Zea mays: one gene and its partner. The protein of the gene in region 1 binds, or shares a complex with, the protein of each later gene. Links are inferred from orthologs where the notes say so. Each region holds a gene or a part of one and is shown on either strand. Other genes may lie near its edges. The genes, in order: 50S ribosomal protein L1, chloroplastic-like; 50S ribosomal protein L34-like.

Region 1 (4,616 bases):
AGTCCCTAACCTACCGCACGATTCTCATTTAGATCCCCAAACTATGAAATTGCATATCTAGGTCCCTAAACTATTTAAGTATCCCATCCCGGTGCAAAACAGTCACATCACAGTTCATTAGCTAACATTGCACTCTAGCGTGGAACCGACATGCATGTCCATAACTCATAATTACAAGGATGATACCTAAACTATCATTGGATTCTTACAAAAGTCTCAAACTATAAAATTTGGATTAGGATTGTAGTACTTTAATAGGTTAGGGACCTAGATGAGTAGTTTTATAGTTTGGGACCTAGCTGAGAATCCTATGATAGTTTAGACAGCCCTTGTAACTATGAACTATGGACCCATATGTCAGCTTCACGCTGGAGTGCCACGTCAGTTGATGGACTGTGATGTGGTTATTTTGGATCAAGATATGATACTTATATAGTTTAGGGACCTAGATATGCAATTTCATAGCTTGGGACCCAAATGAGAATTACATAATAGTTTAGGGACCGCCAGTGTAGTTTACTCATATTATTACCACTGATAACGCTTCATATCTTCCAACATGTGTCTCATCTAGTTTCCTCGGCGATCAGTAAAACCAACTATTTCAACTTCCTGAACTCTTGCTATGCACAATTAAATTACAAACATGTGTTCAATAAAAACACCATGCCTGAACCTTGAATTATCGGAGTACAGGAAAGTAAATGCAACTGATAAAGGTAGGAAGTTACTTGTACATGAATCCTAGAAGTCAGTAAATACTACAAGGGCATGAAGTTTTAAATCTTGTCACAGTGCCCAGACTAAGCAATGAAGACAAACGATTTAGAATATCGATAAAAAAACTGAGGCAAACAAAATCTGTATTGACTTCCTCAATACCTGAGTAATATTTGAAGAAACAGTGCCAGCTTTGGGGTTAGGCATCAGTCCTCTTGGTCCTAGAATCTTACCTAAGCCCGCAACCTGAAAAGTAAACAGAAATAACTCAGGCTGATAATCATTTAAAGGGGAGCCCACATTGAAAGTTTCTACGAACATGTCAAATAATGCAACAAATATATACAGAACTTTGGACATTTAGTTTAGCATTAGTTATCAAAGAATGAAACATCTCACACATGTATTCTTGTATTCCGAAATTAGATTGGCATAGCCAATCTATTTTATCTATAGAAAACAAAAAAATTAACAGTTTACATGGTAAGACACTTAGGACCTATAGTAAGCACAACTAAATATTTCATTTCAAATTTTGTGGTAGTATCCAACAGTAAATTGAAATGAAGGCAGAACTGTTAATAGCTCATACCTTAGGCATCATATCAGGTGATGCAATCAATTTGTCAAACTCCATAAATCCTCCTTTTATTTGTTCAATCAAATCTTCTCCACCTACGATATCAGCTCCGGCAGCTCTAGCTTCATCTATCTTCTCACCTGTGAGGTCAGAAAATAACTATTAATGCATATAATGACCATGATTATTTCAACTACTGGTGCTACCATCTTTATGATAATGACAAGAAAAACATGACTATCTTTCACAAAGGATATGAAAGAGAAGTTTCAGTCATTCAACAAGGGTTTGCTAAGTGGACAGCACAAAAATAGCACCATCCCAACTCCCAAGTGACTTCTTGTAAAAAACAAAGAAGTAGAAACATCATGAACATAATAAACTGATTGTTAAATTCTTCTACCAAGATGCCAAAGATGAATTAACTTTGTCCAATCCAATATGTTGCATTTGAACTCTGAAAGAAGCCATGGTACTTTAAGAAGAAAAAAAATACAAAATTAACCAATCGGGTCATCAGCACACAATGTTTGCATAAAAATAAAGACAAGCGTGTTTCAGATTAAACCCATAGTCACACATGAGGCAAGGCAATAGTGTCAAACAGAACAATCACACATATGACCCACTAGCACAGTGAATTCAGTTTGTACTAACTATCGCTCAACAGGATTTCGTTGTGTTTCAATCACCGCCCACCTTGTGTGAGAACCGCAATCTTCACCGACTGGCCTGTTCCCTTGGGCAAATTCACCTGTGGTCACCACGACCAGCACAAATTAACGAACGCAACAGGGCACAAGCAACCAAAAAGAGAAGGCCAGAAAAGAAGAAACAATACCGTGGCCCGGAGCTGCTGGTCATTGTACTTGGGGTCGAGATTCATGCGGAAGTGCGCCTCCGCTGACTCAACAAACTTGGCACTGGACATCTGCTTCATCAACGAGATGGCGGTGGGCACGTCGTAGTCCTTCTTGCTCTCCCTCAGCTTCTGTATCTCGAGGAACCTCTTCGACCTCGTCTGCGCACCATCAAAACTAGCACAGCATCACCGGCCGTACACAAGCAAGCAAGCCACAGGAACCATATACGGAGGGTGGGGTATTCGGCGATATGCGTACGCGGTCGCGCTTAAGCAGTAGCGCGGCCTTGCCGGTGCGCGGGCGCGTGGGGGCCGTGAACGCGGGGCCGCGCCCGCCCTCATACCCGTCGTCGTCGTCGTACTGGCCCTGCTGGTCGACCTCCGCCTCCTCTTCGAGCACGGCCCCCTGCGGGTCGGCGATGGCGGCCGCGGCGGGGCGGCGGAACGCGAGGAGGAGCCGCGGGTACGCACGCAGCGACGGCACGGAGGAGGGGAACAGCAGCGCGTTTGACGAGGCCGGCGCCGTGCTGCTGGCCGCCGGCGCGAGGAGGGAGGAGGAGGCGGTGGCCGCGGCGGCTGTGGCCATGGTGGAGGCCGGGGAGGATGGCGCAGCAGATAAGAGGGAGTGGAGGGATAGAAAGAGAAGCCGAAGTGGCAGCGCGGGTTGGTTATAGCCGAAAGATCTCGGCCTGGGTGTTCATCGGATAGGGCTGGTCGTGGGCGGGCTCGCGGTCGCAGCCTCGCAGGGGCAGGGATGACGGGCGCCGCGCCTGGAAAACTCCTCCCCCCTGATTCCAGTGATTTTGGCTCAACCGAGACGCCCGGTCACCTGCCTGATCTTGGTTGGGAGTTGGGACGAGCGGGTGTACGAGTGTGCGATCGTGTCGTGTCCGCGCGGGCGACGGGTAAGGAGAAACACGGCGAGTTGGCTGGGCCGAGACGCGCGCAGGTGTTCGGAGCTCCTGATTTGGCTCAGCCCCGAGGACCGAGAGCCATGCGGATGCGCGCGAGGCAGCCGGACAGGTGTGTGGTCGCGGTTCGCGTGTGGGTTCGAGCGGCAGCGACGAGGGACGCATGTGTGGCTGTGGCTGCCAGCCTGCGACTGCGAACTGTTTGTGTGTGGCCCTTGACTCTACTCTATATCTATACTACTATATTATTTAGATTATCCACCAAACAAATTCAGATAGCTGGATAACTCTATCACCCTTACTCAAATTCAATGATGAACAATATTATCTAGATCATCTATCATTTGTCATGTCACCCTTCCCTTTCCCACAATCTGTCGCCTCCAACCTCTCCCTCCCTCGCGTCCCCGTCGCCCTCTCCCCTTCACTCGTGCCTCCACCGTCAATTCCTCCTATAGTTCTGAGGCCTATGTTGTAATACATTGGTAGTGTGACCATAACATGTGGTTTTCTCACTTTGTAATCAGACTTTAGGTTGTTTCAATGGCACACCACTCCACATACATACAATGAACTTTAGAAAGTGCAGGAGCTCCAACTTTTTCCCCTGCTGCCACCATGTAGAGGGAGAGAGAGAAAATTATCTCATATATCACTACACTTTTAATATAGAATTTTCTTTGTGCGTCGCCATGTGTCTCTCACGCGTGAGTAGGGGTGGTAATGGGCTATAAACTTTATACTGCAAATTTTAAGGATCGAATCGGATTAGGGTCGGGCTCTATTCTTATTCATTTTTGAACTAATATTATTTAAGGGCCTTAACTTTTGTGAAGAGGCATTTGGATCGTGATCCATTACCACCTCTACGCGTGAGCGCCCGTGTCCGTCCAACGCGGCAGGGCTCCTACCACTATGGCACACATCCATTTGTGGTACATAAAGGAGAGATTATATATATCTATACACTATAATTTAAAAAAAAAATATAATCATGTTTGAATATATATATATATAATTTAAGGAAATGCAACATATATGATATACAAAAACTGTAGCAATATTGAGAGCACCTAGAAAGGGGTGAATAGGTGATCCTGTAAAATTCAACACTAATAGCCACAAAACTTAGTTGTTAAAGTTAGAACGGCTAAGTAGCTTGAAACGAGCTCTTGCGAACACAGACAATCAAAAAGAAAGCACATAAGAGACACGTGATTTTTATCTCGTGGTTCGGCCAAGTAATACTTGCTTACTTCCACGTTGTGGCGTCCCAATGAACGAGGGTTGCACTCAACCCCTTTCAAGTGATCTAATGATCAACTTGAATACCACGATTTTTCTTCCTTGTCTCTTTTTCCCGTTTGCGAGAAATCTCCACAAGTTGGAGTCTCTCGCCCTTACAATAAAGATCACAATGAAAGCACAAGAGTAAGGTTGGGAAGCAACACACACAAATCCGCAGCACACACACGCACACAAGCCAAGACTTGAGCTCAAAATGAAGCACACAGAGTTCACAACTAGAACGGAGCTCAAATCA
Region 2 (4,050 bases), on another chromosome or scaffold:
CATCTAAATAAATTAATTTCATACATATGTCTTTACTAGAAAATAATTAGGTGCTTTAATTTACTCTACTTTTAGACATCAGAGTCCTTTCGGCCTCTTTCTCTCCATCGAAAAGAGAATTTAAGTAGCGCAAGGATCAAACGGCCGCACGGGTAAGTAGTTTCATCATCAGCTAATGAAGGTAAATCCGGTTTGTCTTATTCAATTTTTTTTTTGAAAAAATAAAAAAATCCAAAGCCATACTTAAAGTATATTGTATGCTAATCAAAACCACAGTAAACTTTAACAATAATTATGATTTTTTAAATAAAACGAGATGGTCAAACTTAGTGTAAAAAAGTCAAATGAATTATAAATTGGAACCGGAGTATATAATAGTTTAACTGATTATCCCTGCAACGCAAAAGGAGATCCTAGTTCAGTATAGCGAACGATGCTACTGCACACAATTTCAGACCCAACAGGGAAGATTCAGTATTCATAACGGAATATGGGCAGGGTAAAAGGAGATCCTACTTCATAACAGCGACGGTATCTACTCTCAAGTGTTCCTTCATACTGCACGCAGGTTCAGGCCCACTAGGGAAGAGTAAATATTCATAAGAAAATATCATTCATACACCAAATAAAACCTTGGAAGCAGAAGGTGATCCAGATATTTTTAACCAATTAAACAGGAATAGGATGCTACATGATTGTTACACATAGATGGCGGCTTAGAAGATTGCAAGTAGACATTACACTTACAGTTGCGAGCACATCAAATTGCAGTGTAATTAGAACATTCTTTTCTTCCCACTGTTTGAGTTTGTCCTTGTGCAAAGAACCTTCCTGCCTTTGGCGCGCCTGCGCTTCAGTACCTTCCTTCCAGAAGTAGTCCGCATCCGCCTGCGGAAACCATGTGTACGGGCAAGTGACTTCCTAGACCTTGACCTCTTGGTCATGCAGAGGGCAGCCTTTCCAGCCCTAATCTGCATACCACGGGATCTCCGTGTTGTCATTATACTGTAGCTGAACTCGATTCCCAAAGATGAACCTGGCATAGAACATGCTATAAGTATAAGAACAACGAAGGCACACATGCACTCACAATCATTGATTTGTGAATACCTATCTGGTTGTGTTTGGATTGTTATACAATGCTTAAATGGTTTGTTGGATTCAACTTTGTCGTGCTTCTTTTAGGAGCTTTGGGATTTGCTTTAGGTAATGGAAAAGTCGAGTGTGATTAAAGTGTTGTCGTAGTATCAGACTATCAGTCCTGAGATCAAGTTTCTTGGAAGCGTTTATGCTTCAACTGTGTTATATAATCTTCACTATATTGGTTAATAGTCCTGTCATATGCAGCCCTTCTTAAATCTTGATTTCTTGTCAAGCAAAAGAAAATGCTATTGCAATGACTTTATCTTGAGACTTGGTGGATGACAACATGCAGTGCCGTTGGTGGGCTCCTTGCCATTGCAGGAACAAGGTGTGGGTTTTGGGGTAGCAGATTTTCGACAAAAGCTACGCTCGGCTTTCTGTTGATGCCAGCAATGGTGACGCACTCCTCCTTGTAGGCATTGTCAAGAGGTCTCTAGACCCTAAGGGGATTTTGGTTCAAAAGCATAGGTTCTATAATCGATGGCGGCACCTGCAGATGTTGTTTACCTCCTTGGAGGCATCATATGAACCCCACCCCATATCTTGTTTGGCTATCAGGGCGTGTTCTGATTGCCAATGCTCTGATGGTTTTATTGGCGATGTACTATTATTTTGGTGATTGTCTTGCCATCGCTTCGTTTCGTGAGCATTTTTCTTTTGTTTTCAACGATGTTGGTGTATCTAGTCCTTCTCTATTAATATGCCCGACTAACTGAATTTTTGGTTTTTTTATAATACCAACCACACAAGCTTCAATGTTTTCAAAGAATTAGTTAGGACACCCTTATTTCTGTTTGTATAGATGAAGTGAGTGTAATTAATTCCGGTTCAAACGTTAAAACAACATAAATCCCCAGTTACTGTTCTTCACCCTACTAGAGTAATGAACAACAAAGAACAAACTATTCCAAAACTCCACCCTCTTGATACCAGCTTACTGTATTATTAGTGAATTATTAGCAAGTCAAACATCCTATTCTGCAAATCTATCGTCAACACACGGTCATGAAGTCATAATTTCAAATTTTTAATGTCATTTCCCCGTACGAGCTTACTAGTAAGCAAACTACCCACAAAATTTCCCCAAATAAAGACCAAAACAAATGGCCGCCCAAACGCTAGCACACGAATACAGGAAGAAAAGGATTACAGGATACATTCTCACCCGCAAACGCGGAGGAGGACGTAAATGCCAGAGACGCCGAGACAGCCGCCGCGAGCGAAGCGGGGGAGGCGGAGGCGGAGGCGGACGACGTGGAGGAGGACGAGACGAAGGAGCTCCGGAGGAACGGCGAGGCGGATACGCCCACCGGGGCCGCCCTGCGAGTGCGGCCGACGCCTCCGATAGACGCCGCCGAGATCCTCCCGGAGTGGAAGGAGAGAGACGCCATTGGAGAGGCCAGGGCGAGCGCCATGGTTTGGAGGACTCGCAATCGCAATTGCTGCGGTCTAGCCACTCCCTGTCCCTGGTGCTTGTTTTATTTTATCTTATCCACGCTTGATGAGACAGGCCTTATGGGCCTCCTATGGGCTAGTGCACATTTGACCCACACATCCCCTCCTCCGCCCTGGAGAATCCCGGTTCCTCACGGAGAAATTTAGGATTGCGCCATTATCAAAAGTGAGTTTCGCTATTTTACCATTAATTAGAGGGCTTCATTCCATTATAAAACTTACAATGATACTAGTTGTATGCCCGTGCATTGCTACGGAGTAAAATATGTTAAGATAAGATACGTTGAAATGCAGAAGCATTAATTGTTGTCCTATACTCTTGTTAGCATCTTTTAAAGATTAAGAATGTTTACAAAACTGTATCATGGTAAAGCTTGAAGAATTGCTTCCTCATTTCTGGATCTTTAGCTCTAAGTCCGAGCATATACAGTTGTTGAAAGCCAAAAGGGGCCGCGCGGACGGTCCACGGTCCGGACTGTCTTCGGTGGTGGCGCGGACGGTCCGCACGTGCGCAGAGTCAGTTAGGGTTCCTAGTTTCTCATGGGATTTGTTATCTAAAACCGTGGGATTGACTCGGAAATCAGTTCGAAGCGGATCCAGACCTCCCCCTTTATATAGATGAAGGGCTACGGCCGATTGAACTCCCCAACAATCGATCAAATCAAGTCTATTACTCGTTTTTACCTTATGCATTAGGAGTAGTTCTAGTCTAGTTCTAGTTTAGCCCTAGTTTAGTATTCTAATCCCCAAATTCTCCGCTTCTCTTCGACTCTATGTCGATTAGAGGATCTAGGTCGGCCTGTCGAGCCTAGACAACCCCTAGAATCTCTCCTCCCCGACGGGGTCCCTCCCGGGAGCGAGATCCAGGCGCCGCCGGCGACCTTTCGCCGCCCCTGCGCACACGCGGACCGTCCGGCCCCTAGGGCGCATACCGTCCGGCCGTCAGGCAGGGAACCCTAGCCCTGCGTCAGGTCGCGGACCGTCCGGCCCCTGGGCGCGAACCGTTTGCGCCTGTGTAGAGAGCACCGTCGCCGGTTCTTGTTGAGTGTTTGGCGCCCGAAAAAGGTGTCAACATACTTTTGGCGACTCTGCTGGGGACTAGGTGTCTAGACCTGCTAAAAATCGGCCCATAGATGGTCGGTTCTAAGGATCACACCAAGATCTCCACCACCAACATCATCAAGCCGGCCATGGAGGCGCTCCCGGCTGATGACCAAAGACCCTTTGAAGACCTCGTAATGCGTGATGAGAAGGAGGTGATGCAGCAATGGAACGAACAACGCGACAAGGAATAGGCGGAGCTGCTGCATAAACTCTCTGAATGGCACAAGGAGCCGGTAGAAAAGTACTTGTCACACTTCACGGTGGATCGCCACCAGAAGATCACCCGTCAAGGGGATATCGGTATGGAATCTCTCCTACCTCCACTTCAGGGTCCCGCTGTAAGTACTC

Evidence for each region.
Region 2: 50S ribosomal protein L1, chloroplastic-like (region 1) and 50S ribosomal protein L34-like share a complex: the UniProt entries of both Arabidopsis thaliana proteins name them as parts of the 50S ribosomal subunit. The link is inferred for Zea mays from reciprocal best matches to the Arabidopsis thaliana genes EMB3126 and AT1G29070.

What each region holds. Positions count from the first base shown.
Region 1 is NC_050101.1:154,264,654-154,269,269, reverse strand, and holds the start of 50S ribosomal protein L1, chloroplastic-like, read right to left. Parts: upstream 2,804-4,616; 5' UTR 2,749-2,803; coding exon 2,422-2,748; intron 2,322-2,421; coding exon 2,142-2,321; intron 2,055-2,141; coding exon 2,000-2,054; intron 1,441-1,999; coding exon 1,313-1,440; intron 967-1,312; coding exon 883-966; intron 1-882. UniProt on the Arabidopsis thaliana protein: This protein binds directly to 23S ribosomal RNA.
Region 2 is NC_050098.1:192,685,779-192,689,828, reverse strand, and holds 50S ribosomal protein L34-like, read right to left. Parts: upstream 2,585-4,050; 5' UTR 2,559-2,584; coding exon 2,309-2,558; intron 1,037-2,308; coding exon 777-1,036; 3' UTR 633-776; downstream 1-632. UniProt on the Arabidopsis thaliana protein: This protein binds directly to 23S ribosomal RNA.